Linked DNA regions of Medicago truncatula. The protein of the gene in region 1 interacts with the protein of each later gene in a pairwise test. Links are inferred from orthologs where the notes say so. Each region holds a gene or a part of one and is shown on either strand. Other genes may lie near its edges. The genes, in order: cell division topological specificity factor homolog, chloroplastic; putative septum site-determining protein minD homolog, chloroplastic.

Evidence for each region.
Region 2: the proteins of cell division topological specificity factor homolog, chloroplastic (region 1) and putative septum site-determining protein minD homolog, chloroplastic interact in binary tests that used the Arabidopsis thaliana proteins (3 or more experiments, as listed by UniProt). The link is inferred for Medicago truncatula from reciprocal best matches to the Arabidopsis thaliana genes MINE1 and MIND.

Annotation. Positions count from the first base shown.
Region 1 is NC_053046.1:18,840,998-18,848,556, forward strand, and holds cell division topological specificity factor homolog, chloroplastic, read right to left. Parts: upstream 3,298-7,559; 5' UTR 3,165-3,297; coding exon 3,072-3,164; intron 1,553-3,071; coding exon 950-1,552; 3' UTR 686-949; downstream 1-685. UniProt on the Arabidopsis thaliana protein: Acts as a topological specificity factor during plastid division and specify plastid constriction sites (such as the Z-ring) in a MCD1-dependent manner. Especially involved in epidermal plastids division in a FTSZ1-dependent manner.
Region 2 is NC_053047.1:18,020,466-18,026,524, reverse strand, and holds putative septum site-determining protein minD homolog, chloroplastic, read right to left. Parts: upstream 1,991-6,059; 5' UTR 1,924-1,990; coding exon 874-1,923; 3' UTR 594-873; downstream 1-593. Other genes in the region: uncharacterized protein, read right to left, coding at 4,816-5,127, 5,767-5,834. UniProt on the Arabidopsis thaliana protein: Together with ARC3 and MCD1, regulates FtsZ ring positioning in chloroplasts in an ARC6-dependent manner. Calcium-dependent ATPase required for the correct placement of the plastid division site. Inhibits FtsZ filament and ring formation in the plastid.

The DNA.
Region 1 (7,559 bases):
TGTAAAGAACAATATAAGTGTTCTTAATGTATTTCAGTCCTAGAACGTGTTCTTCCTGCAGAACCGTTCTCCAGCCAAGCTAACACGTCACTGTTCTCCAACGCTTAAGAATAACAAGAACAGTTCTTGCTTGTTCTTATTTTCACGATCATGACCCCCAACGATTCTTTCTGATATATTTGTTACCATTTTGCAACATACCTTCTTGTCTTGCTTTGTAAATTAATATTTCCATATTCAGTTATACACATAGATTAAGCGATCGTTCTGTTAAGATATCCTTCATTCTGAACGAATTGATATAGATACAACATATGAGTTTTTCTTCTCAGCTCTTCCATTTTTCTTCATAGGGCAAATATAGATCACATGGCTCCTGGGCTTGTTTAGTTTTTTGCTCCTCTCGAAAGTTGGTGCCAGATTCGAAGAGTTCAGCAAGGTCGAAGAGCAAACTTGCAACTAACTGACCTCTCAGGAAACCGCTGTAAGATACAAGGTATGGTAATGTTACTTAAGGAATGTCAAGGTCTTTGCAGCTGTTTGCTTAACCCAAACAAGATTAAGCACATAGATTCTTCTTGGTTTGAGTGGAGCATCAATGGCTTTGGCTAGCTAGGGAGAATCCATGATTTTATTCTAACTAATATGCTCAGGCTTAAACTATCAGCTCCCTTACAATGGCCAGTGAGAATGAACTACAAACTCCATTTATAATAATGATTCATACAACAAGCAACAAAATCCTATCATAAAGTTAAAAACAGTGCATCAAACCAGACTAACAGATAAAAGGTGTTACAAAATTTCTCATTAAAATCGAGTCACCCACCCTAACGGAAGCTTCAATTTGCAAATATATATACAGCACTCCAAATTGGCTTCATCGGTAAGGGTTTCAAACACTGCCTTCTGGCAAAGAAGTCAACATTCAAGACCTTTTATTTCAAAATCAAGACGTTTCATCCTGAACATAGAAATCAAATCTAACATCAACAGAACCTGAAATATCTCCGGTGTCCTTATACTCAATATTTGTTATTGTCCCAGTTTCATCCACCACTTGATATTCTGGTTTAACCCGCCGTACGGGCACTGTAACAGAGTAAATGGTTCCAATATCTGTATCTGCAGAGACACTCAACTGAACTTTATCTTGTGATTCTATTTCCACAAAATCTGATAGAGCACGCACAATGTTGCTAACTATTTTTTGCTTTGCCTCATCACTTACTTCACATCGATCAGAGAACAAAATCATCTTCAAACGTTGCTTGGCAATCCTAGCAACAGAGCTTTTCTTAGACACTGCTGATGGGAAAACTATCTTCCAAGCCAAATTTAAACGCTCAAAGAAACTCATATTAACAGCATCAAGGAGAAAGTTCTCGGCTTCTTGGCTACCTGACTTTGATGAAAAATTAGAACCTCCAAGGACTGCAAAAACAGGCTTGTGATAGCCACGCATATTGCTTCGTACAGTTGTCATGGTGGAACGTTTTGGGGTGAATCCAGATATGCAGGACCCTCCATTTAAGAAACAATGAAAATCGACCTGTTAGACAGAAAAATTAAGAGATTAACAAGGCATTTTCAACATTTTGTAAATCTTGTAAGGATTTTAAGTAAACTTTCGCATCTATAAAAAATGTAACATTTAAGAAGTCCAGCCACAAGCATCTAAATTAAATATCTCAACGATAAATATGATAAAAGATCATTTTATACAACCTTTTCCACTATACTGAATATCAAAAAGGAAAACAGCTGTATCACATCCTCTTTTAGCAACTGGTCAGCACAAAATGGAAAAATGCTACACATATATTTTCTCCAATTTCTCTAAGGCAAAAACTTTATAACAATAGATAACACATATTTCCAATCAAATGGAATATAGTGGAAAAACAATTATGCACTCCACTGATACTTTGGTCTAGAGGGACACGAAATAGAGTTGCAAATCACTCTCCCCCCATAAAATATGACATGTTTGACTATTTCGCACAAATCAACAAAATGTATAAATTAAAGACAAAGAATAGTACTTATATTGTATTATCCTTATCATGTATAGGTGTATTTATCATCGCCGTTGATGCAAAGTAGAAGGTATTGAATTGGGAGTGGTATATTTAATTAATGTGACCTTCAAAATTGAAAGCGTCAATTATTTTAGGACAACCTTTGAAACTAACTTATTCTGGGACAAATTTCTTTTGCAAATAGGCCAATTATTATTGGACATAGTGAGTAATGAATTGTGGTAAATCAACAATCCTTATAAACTGTAGACAATAACATAACAGCTCATTAAAACTATGAGACCTCATTCCCCTTCATTTTATTACTCAAACATGTGATATAATTTTCAAGGACTTCTGTCATCCGAAAATACATCTATAACAAAAAGCACCACGGTTTCAGTACATGTTTGAATTGATAGTGAGTTTAACAGAATAACAATCCGCTACCAAAATTTTAACAAAAACTACACTTTGAAGTTTCAACAAAAATCACAGTCCCACGATAATTTCTCCAAACTCGCCATAAATATAAGCTTAAAATATGGTTTAATGAGCAACATTTATCCAAAATTTCAATTAATGTAATCACAATTTAAAACATAATGAAGCACAAATACTCCTTGGATTAGGATGTCCCGGTGTCAGATACATATTGAATATATTGAATCTGACACCGACGCATATAATTATAATTAACTTAAATTATGTCATTTTCTCAAATTATTATCGGTGTTGACATTCTGGTGTCTGGTGTCTAAGTTGTTGCTTCATAGAATATCATGCTAATTGCCAAACCAAACTAAATACATACATAAATTCCAACATTTCTGAACTAGAAATTAAAGTAAAAGAGTCGAATTTTCTTCTTCAACACCACTATTAAAACAACACAAACATTAATTTTCATTTTTTCTATTACACATTCTTAATAATTAACACTACACAGTAAAATCTAAAACAGCGCCATCAATTTGAAAGTAAAAATATAAGCTCGAATTAAAAATTAAAATTGAAACCCTAATTAGAGAAAAAGAAAAGGAACGATACCTTTGGAGGAATAAAAGAAGTGGTTGGAAGAAGAGGGTGTGAGCGATGGAGTGGAAGAGTTGCAGTGACTCTAATGTCGCCGGAAATCGCCATTGTTGATAGCTTCGGATTTCCCAACGGATTTTCAGTGCTTCTGTTCACTGTTGTTGCAAGTAGTGTACCCTATTTGCCCCTCAATCACCACTTCAGTACGTCGTCGTTTTACCGTTTTCCAAAAGAGTTGGGCACTGTCCTCTCAAAAAAAATAAAAATAAAAAGTAAAGATTAAATAATGGGATAATACTTAATAGTCATTTATGTCCCCTCAACAAGTAATTGCAATAGTTCATCAATGTTTCAAAATTTAAAATAATTCTTAATTGTGCACGCAACACACTTTTAGTTGAAATAGTCTTGACGCTAAAATAATATATCAATATTCAAAATAACTCTTTTCATATAAATACTAAAAATGACAATGAGTGAGTACTTATAAAGACCGATATGATAATAAGTAAGTGTATTGAAGAATTAATATAACAATATTAATGAAACATTTTAACATTAGGGACTATTATCCCATTATAGAATACCGTGAATTCTAGAATGGATGACTCACCTAAGTCTCTCACATGTGCACTACGTCCTTCCTAACATCTATTAGTTCCTAATAACACATGGTAAACACAAAATTGCCCCCAGCATAGTTAATTACCATTGGTATATCTAGCAACAGTTAACTACCGCTGCGTTCGTTACATATTCAAGTCAGGACCCAGCTTCCAGCCACCCTTTCAATACTCTCTCTCTCTAAAAATTTCAATTTTCACTCTCTCTCTTTAAAAAAACTCTACCAAATCATCCAAATTTTTGCCACTAAATCACAATTAAGTAATCATTTAGGCTATTATCATAAATTTTAGTTGGTATATATGTTTATAATTTTAGTTGTAGTTTAATTTTTAAATTTTGATTTATTTTTTTAATAGCGTTATGTTATAGATCTGAAATGCTATTAACAAATATTATGAATATTTGTTATAATCGAGTTATATTGCTTAAATTTATATTTTTTTTTTCAAGTTTTATAAAAAAAATTGGGTTTTTTAGGGTTTGTGTATAATTTGCACTCCAAATGTTTGATGAAATGTTTGAATGAATTTTTCATTGATTGTTTAATTTTTTTATTGTATAGGTATGTTTGAAACAATGGCCGATTTTTTCAGTGTTTGCATACGCTTCAACGGTGGAAATCCTTAGATGTTCAAGGTTCGGTACATTAATGTCACGTTAAAAGGTCTCAAGGATCAACTAGATGAAATCAACCAAAGACTCAACCCCGGAGACACGAGAAGGGTGAAATACATTTGGTATGAACGTTTAACGTTGGACGACGGGAGAATAACGTTCATTCTGCTAGAGTTAAAGAACGGCGACGACGTGAGGAGTATGTTCTCGATTTTTTGGCAGCACAACATGGTTCCGATGATCGATATGTTTGTCACGTTGCAGAGATCAACTGAAGATATTCTCAACAGTTTGATTCCGCCAGAAGATCGTGATTAGGTAGGGAATGCACCTTCCAACTACAACAATTGTCTTACTTGTGAAATTGGATAAGGTCAACCTGTTAAACAACAGCTCTCAAGCATTCACCCGAAAGTTTTATTGTGCCTTTCAAAAGATTAAGTTCTTGTTAGTTTGTTGAAGATGTTGGTATTGGAGTGTCAAAATATTAAGAGACCATGTATTATGCAGAATCAGCTATATAAGTTATGATATTGAATTCCTTCATATAAGATGAGTGTCACAGAATGCACCTCATTCTCTATGTGATTACTCGTCTTATATGAGGGAAATCGATGTGATAACATATGTAGCTGATTCTGCGTGATACATGTTGTGTTCTCTTAATCTTTTGACACTTCAATACCAACATCTTCAACAAACTAACAAGAATTTAATCTTTTGAATGAGACAATAAAACTTCCAGGTGAATGCTTGAGAGCTGTTGTTTAGCAGGTTTGAATTTGTCCAATTTCAGAGGTAAGACAGTTGTTGCACCACATATCTCTACCCGGATGTAATGTAATGATAGGACATATTTAGGAACTTTATGTAATGTAATGTAATGTAACTTTTATTCGAATTTATTTAATATGCAACTTTATTCGAATTTATTTAATACGCAATTTTTATTCGAATTCACGTTGTGTTTAATTAGTCTTTTTTTGAATTTATTTATTTTTTAATACACAATTTTTATTCGGATTTATTTATTCCATATACAATCATAAAATAAATGCAAAAATAAAGGAACAAAAGTAATAGGTATAAAATCTCATTTTATTAATATTATGATACATTCATGATGGGGTAAAACTAAATCTGAGTTAAAAAAAACCACCAGAAAACGATATAAAAAGAATCTTAGAGAACACCTCAAATTGAACCTAGAACTTCCGGATACTCTTCTCCAAGATACTCATACAAGACAACATCAAGAAGACCCATCAATTGTTCCTCATGGCACTGCTACATGACAACATCAATTCTCGAATTGTGCCTCACCTCTGCACTCTTATTGTTTAACCTCCACTTGGGTTAAAACAAAAAAAAAAATCACAAACCATAAACCCTAAATCCTGGGGTAAAACCAATTCAAAGAAACCTCTTGAAATTTTCAAATTTTCAAAGATGCCTCTTTCAATGAAAGGCCAAGGATGAAAAAAACAACATTGTTGTTGTTAGAGCTGTCAAAACGGGCCGGGCCGTGTGGGCCGGCCCGTTTAGCCCGATTAATTATAGGGCTTGGGTCTTAAATATTGAGCCCGAATTTTAATATGGTTTTTTAGCCCGGCCCTAAAAAGCCCGCTACCCGTTAGGGCTAGCCCGAACGGGCCGAGGGTAGCCCGCTAGCCCGCATAACAAATAAAAACCTATAAATGTTATATATTTTGCAAATAATTCTTTACTTAGTTGATTATCAAAGTAATAAATAAAAGTGAAAATTCAATGAATTAACACAAATATACATGTAATATAAAATTATATTTACCTGTTTCGTTATTTATAATTTTAAAGATCGAAAATATAAATATCTATAACCATAACGTATCTAATTTATTTAAAATTGTTTTCCTCGCCGTTTTAGTTTACGACGTTTGTACAAAAATGTTTACAATTTATTTTTGTTCTAGGAATTATTTAAACATATTAAAAATATTATTTATAAAAAAAAATTATATGAGTATTTTATAGTAATTTTTTTATAAAAAAAATAAATAAAATAAAATTAATACGGGCCTGCCCGTGTAGGGCCGGACTTGGGTAGTATATTTCAAGCCCGTTTTTTCAACCGGGCTTTTTGGCCCGGTCCGATAAAGCCCGAAGCCCATTAGGGCCGGGTCGCCCGTTTTGACAGCTCTAGTTGTTGTAGAAGGAAGAGGAGGAAGGAGAGTGAGGAGGAGAGAATGTGAGATGATGGTATGAGGAAATGGTGAAGGTTGGGAGAGTATTAATAGGGGGTTTAATTAAAAAAATGTTGAAAGAAGAGGTTGAATGATAGAAAAAAAAAGGTTGAATGTAAGTTGTTGCATTCCCGGAACAAACACAACCGTAGTTAACTACCGCTAATGTATTTTCGAATTTTCCATGTGTTATTAATATTTTTTATGTCAGAAAAGCAATTTTCAAGACAAATAAGTCCACGTGATTGTATTACATATTTCAATCTCTCCTATTTGCATCCACTCCTTTGTCAAAAAAAATTACTAATTGACACACAAAAAATGAACAAGGACACATAAATAATATTGAAGGTTAAGATATATTTTTCATTTAACTTAATTTTTTTTTAAAATTTCTATCTTTTAAAAAAAAGTTAAATATTTTATGTCTAGTAGCAACAAACTCGTGCTAATCACGGGTCCATGCTCTATACAAGTTAGACGTCGAAACGCGAGTTATGCGTCAAAGCGCATTTACAATGTTATCTGCATTGAAAAATAAGAAAATAATAAAAAATTTAGGGGAAGAAAATAGTAACAATAAAGTTGGGTAGAGGGTTCAATTAAATCTTCCACTTATTACCGCTTATTTTGATTTGCAATGTTATGCGTGCACATAGTCTCTGTTTCAACGATTTTAGGCAAAGAAGAACTACATATACTATTAATCAATAATTACTCGAAACAATAAGTTGTGTTGTGCAATATCTTTACAAATCAACAATTCAATGATTCCCAAGACAGATTTACATAAATAACTTTCAAATCTATGATTTCAATTAAACAAAAATACTACACAAGCAACGCTATTTCACGGTAGAACAATGACATATGAGAATAAGACAAAGGCTATGGTAGGAGACCTCTTTAGATCTCCTACCGTAGGAGACATGATTTTTTATTTTTTTTTATTTTTTTTTTGTAAAATAGATGGCAACCATTTTTGAAGATCATAGTATTATCATATACCCTTAATACTAAATTTTTTTAGACCCATTAT
Region 2 (6,059 bases), on another chromosome or scaffold:
GCAAAACTTCATCACTGATTTAACTGTGGTTTAAGTTATAATTGTGGACAGCATCTAACAGCTAGACCACAATTGCAGCCGAAATTTAAAATCCTAGGTTGAACCATCTTGAACATAATATTACAATGGCAACAGATGATATTATTCATAAACCCAGCACGATTGACAACATTTTAGCAGTAAACATACACAAATGCACATTGACCCTACAGTTCCAATGTGTAATATCTTGTTGAACGTGTATTTGAGCACCCGTTACCACACTTAAATTTGATCATTGATTTAATAAGGGTTTTAACTTGCAAAATGCATCATGGTTATTTAATCGACATTCAAAGCATGAACTATAACACCTAATTTCTAATCATGAATCAAACCTTATGAACAATTTAAGGCAAAAGAAATCAATATTTATGCTGCAACTAGTACCTTATCTGTTTTAAGTTTTGCTTCAAATCATGATAGGACTCAGCATGTATCATAACATAGTGATTACAATGGACTGCATCACTTTCTGCAACTACGTACCCTGCCTCCACATGAAACCATGATTGCTGACTGGAACACAATTGCAACCACAATATAATATATCATGATAAACCATCTACAACATTGTATTACTAATGGCAACAAATCTTCACCTGAAGTGTTTACAGATACAACTAATCCTTACATTACCAAAATCAAAATACTAACAATTAATAGCAATAAATCATGAATTAACATATTAAAGGAAAACAAGCTTTACTAATTCCAACTATACACAATTCAAAACAAACTTCACTTCAAAAAATATTCCTCAGACACTAGAAAATCATTCATTACAAACTTGCTTGCACCTAATAAAAGAACAAAAAACAACCCAATTGATCATTAACCACCAAAAAACGAGAAAAACCCTCTTTTCGGTTCTTCCTCAACCATAACAGCTTGCATACTATCCTGCTCCACAAGTCTCCAAGCAGCTTGTTCAAAAGCCAAACCAGCCAAAGTAGGAGGCTTATTCAAAACAAGCGGATACCCTCTATTTGTACTCCTTATAACCTCACTATCCTCTGGTATAACACCAAGCAACGGCAAACCCAACATCTCTTGCACATCCAAAACCGACATCATATCTTCACCTTTAATCATATCCGTCCTAACCCTATTCACTATCATCTTAATATCCCTAATCCCATCACACTCCAACAATCCCGTCACTCTATCCGCATCCCTCAACGCAGTTATATCCGGCGTTGTTATCAAAACCGCTTCATTAGCCGGTGTAATCGCCGTTATAAACCCCGCATCAATCCCTGCAGGGCAATCGATCAGGATAAAGTCCGGACAGCCAGAACCAGTGGAACTGGAACCGGAACCAGAACCATTGGTTCCAGTTCCATTTCCACCGGTTTTATCTCCCCGGGCTTTTAAAGCTTCAACCAACCAAGTCAAAGCTTTTCCACCAAATCCAATAGGCAATTTAGATCTAGGTTTAGAAATACAAAGCAATTCAAAATTAGACCAACGTTTATCTCTAACCAAAGCTTGATCGAGTCGACATTCCCCGTTGAGAATCTCAACGACGGTGTAATTGACTCGATTCTCAAGACCTAATAAAAGGTCAAGGTTACGTAATCCGACGTCGGCGTCAATGGCGACGACGGAGAAGCCTAAACGGGCTAAAGAAAGGCCGATGTTAGCGGTGGTGGTTGTTTTACCAACTCCGCCTTTTCCGGATGTGACTACTACGACACGGGGGGTTTCGCCGGAGAGTTGGGGTTTGCGGTTCCATTGAAGAAGGGATTTTGTTAGGGTTTTGGGTTTGGGTTTGGGGAATGTGGGTGAATGACGGAGATGGGTTATTGAAGGGAAATGGGATTTGAGATTGGTGGTGGTGGTGGTGGTGGTGGTGGTGGGGTGGTTGTAGAGGGATAGCATTTGTGAATGGGTTTTTGAGAGAGTGGGATGGAAGGGAGTGAGTGAGTGAGGAGAAGACAAACTTGTGTTGATTGATTACGATATCGACTTTGCTTTATTGTTTTTTGTTTTTTATTTTTATTTTTATTTTTATTTATGTTTTAATAATATAATATACTCTTTGTCAAAAAAATAATATAATATAGGTCAAATGCATTTAAAGGTCTTTTAAGTTTTTCGTTTTTTTCAAAGTGATCATTTAAGTTTCAAAAGTCTCAAACAAGTATTTTTAGTTTTTGAATCGTTTCAAACAAGTCATTTTAGAAGATGATGGTGATGATTCAGATGATAGCAACAAAGAACATTATTCACCGTTTGTCATGCCTAAAAAGATGACTAATTTTAAGTGGATGTTAGGAGCCAGATTTAGTACCAAAGATGAGTTCAAGGAAGCAATTACCAACTATGTTATCTACAATAGGACTTGTTTGAAACGATTCAAAAACTAAAAGGACTTGTTTGGAACTTTTGAAATTTAAAGGACCACTTTAGAAAAAACGAAAAACTTAAAGAATCTTTAGATGCATTTGACCTATAATATACTCTTTCTTGTTTTAAATTTTGTTTAATTACAATTTTAGTTCTCTTTAGTCGTTTTTTTTCTCTTTTCAATAATAACGATAGAGGATGCAACTCATTTTTTTCGTCATTGTGCTTATTTTTGTCAAGTTTAGATCGCTGTTTATGATTGGTTAGAATTTGTCATGGTCAATATGTACCATACTTTTGATTATTTCATTTGAATCTACTTAAATATATTTGTCTTTATGTTATAAAATTACACAGGTTTGATCCTTTTTTATATTTTTAGACTAAAAAATTGTGATGTAACGTATTTTAAAAGATGTATCATAGGACTTGATACGAAATGATCAACAATTATAAAATTATTATAAAAATATCTACAAACTTCAATTTAAATATGATATATCATCAATTTTTAGTTAAAAAAATTGAAAGAGGAACCGAAACATATTAATTTTAAAATTGGGGACCAATTATTTGAATGAGTGAAAATAAGAGGATCAAAGCTGTAATTAGCTCTTTTAGTTTTTCATGAAAAATATATTCACTTACTTTTATGCTTTTTCATAGAAAATAATATTTTGGAAAACAATTAATTTATTATCCCGAGAGAGAAAAAAATTATAATCTTTTTATTTAGAAAACAATCAAGAAAACTATTTTATACTCCTATCCCTTTTTTTAAACTGCCAAGAAGAACTTTTATTAATTAAGATGAAAAATGAGATAAATACAAGTGATACTAAAACTCATTATGAGATGTCAATGTGAACATATAACTCTGTTGGTAAGGAAGAAGACTATTTTTTTTTTGTCAAATTTTCTAATAGTAAGTTTCTAATAGCAAGAATTGCACGCATTAAGTGTGAGAGTGAGAAATTATAGGTTTGAACTCGCTTTCTAACACGGTAAATGTTTGTGCATCCCCGAATTGAGTAATTGAGTTGTACGTATAGAACAAGACTCCTATATTTATAGAGAGTAAGATCAAGACTTCTATATTTTTAAATGTTTTAATTTAATTATAATATATATGATATGATGACAAGGATGTCGTATCATTAAAAAAAGTCAGCTCATCACAAAATTGAGTGAGAAAGTACAAAATAAAAAAGGAGTAAACTTGACCAAAAAAAAAAAGAAGAATTGATTTAATTTAAATGAGGAAAAATTCAATTATATCTCAAAGTGGTTGGTCTGAGTGGTAAGGAATTCAAACACCTAAAACATGGATGAATGGTTTTATCTTTAACTCTTGTCAGTGAAAAATATAGGTTGAAAAGAAAGAACTCAACTAGTATGTCCAACAAATTTCTCGATTGAGATTAACTACCACCCACTTCATACCTTATAATATGATTATCAATGAAAAAATTACTAGTTCTTTCGTCAAATTTCGAGTTGGGAACAAAGTGTTGAAATTTTCTTCCGACTTGCGCACAATCTATTCTATTGCTAGTCATGTTGCTAATAAAATAAGTGAAAGTTCGAATTTTCAAATTTGTAGGTCACCATGATTTTATCTATCAAACATACCGTGATACCAAACATGCATTCTAATACTCAAGAAAAAACAAAAGTTGAACTTGAATTTATCAAATGGCTGGTGAACCGTGAACGTATAGTATCTTTACACCAGTTACGTGTACTCAATTTGAAAAGATAAGTTATTGCTGAAGTATTGTTTGAAAACATCATTTCCTTTTCCGTGAATTCTAACTTCATCTAGTAATGAAATGAATGATACACGAAAAAACTCTAAACATAATCTTTCACTCTGAGAATGATTTATCTTAACCATTACAAGGAAGTTTAAAACTTAGCAAACTGTTACATAATTGTATTAACTTGTTGATTTTGCATTGACCATGATTTGAAGTTAGCACTCATATCAAACCAAACACTATAAACAAGTATACCAATCTAAATCTAAATTTACAAATGTACATGAAGAGAAACAAAACAAAAAAAACCTTCATGAAAATTTCAATGATCCACTCCAAATTGTTACTACCATCATTGTACACTGCAGCTGAATACATGAAAGGAAAAAAAAAATCATATGATGAATTTGACTATTGTAAAGTTTGATCAATTCAGATATTCATATAGGAAAGATAAAACAACACAATTACCTTTGATATTCATTGAACATAGTTTCAGGAGGCACCAATATTAAGATTTGAAGTTGAACAACAAATGAAAATTATACATTTGATACACTATGAATACCATGAAAAAAATTCTGTTTCCTTTTTGTGACTTACAACATAATAGAATACACATCAGAAAGTAACGCTAAACATTTTTGACACAGATTCCTTTCCATCAACTATCATGACGCGAAGATGAACTATGTAGCAGAGCCTTGTCATCTTCTCTTGTTGGTTGTAAAGGAACAGCTCCATTGTGATTCTCAGCATCTGAACTAGTAGATGGTTTTGCACCATTGGTAATCATGTTTTTCAACCAAGAAGCTTGAAATCTTGGGGATGACTCCCCCCTGTTTGAATTGTTGGGGGAATCGGGACCTGTTTTGATATTGTTTGTAACATTGTTAGTAACGTTGTTTGTAACGCCTAGGAGGAACCTGTATGCTACTTTGCTTGCTGATACAATCTCTGTTTTCGCTTGTCGGAACTGCAATAACCAGGTCATATTATTAGTTAGTGCATAGGTTTTCTCAAAATATATCACAATGCCAGTACTGGTATAATAACCTATGAAGCCCATACACTTGATACAACAGATACAAAATAATACGGATACAAGAACATGCAAAATATACATAGATAGGAGGATATATGACCTAGGTACTTCAAAAGCTTATAAAAAAATATACATACTTTACATAGTTCATTAGTCCTTTTTAAAGCAAGTCTTGACAAAGAATATACTCTTAATTTTTTGTTCACAGCATGACAAAGAATAACGTTGTGCAAGAAGATTTCGGACAAGTTTTGAAGTTGAATATAAATATCATAAGTATCGAAAAGGCGTGTCTCCCAAAAATAAATCAGTCAATGATTTTCTTTTGAAATATGAAAATATTTAGAGGGCACCCTTTGGATACACCTTGAGGAGTATGGAAGGCATGTTGGTATCAGATGAAACCGATTCTTTAGCAATTTTGGAGTATCTAAGCTCCATAGCAAATAATCAATAGCCACAGAATTTGAAGTATTTAAAGCCAAAAACACAAGAAAATCCAGGCTCCAATGACACAATTCAAGGAAATATTTAACACCGCATAAAAGCATTTTGAAATTTATAACTTACCCGTAATGCCGTATTCCCAGCAACTTCCATGGCAGTATCACCAGCATTAGCAAACCTATTAACCCAACCTGTGATGAAATGAAAGTTGTAAGAATACACAGGGAAAGCTAAAAAGAAACGTACAGAAGCAATAATTCACATGCTGGATTGCTGCTAAAACTTCAGTCACTTGACATAAAATGGGCATGGGCACATCATCAAATTATATCATAATACATTTCTATTCTTCTTTCAAAAAAAGATAATACATATCGACTCTAAAACCATGAGTTTTTTCTGTGTTGAAGCCACCT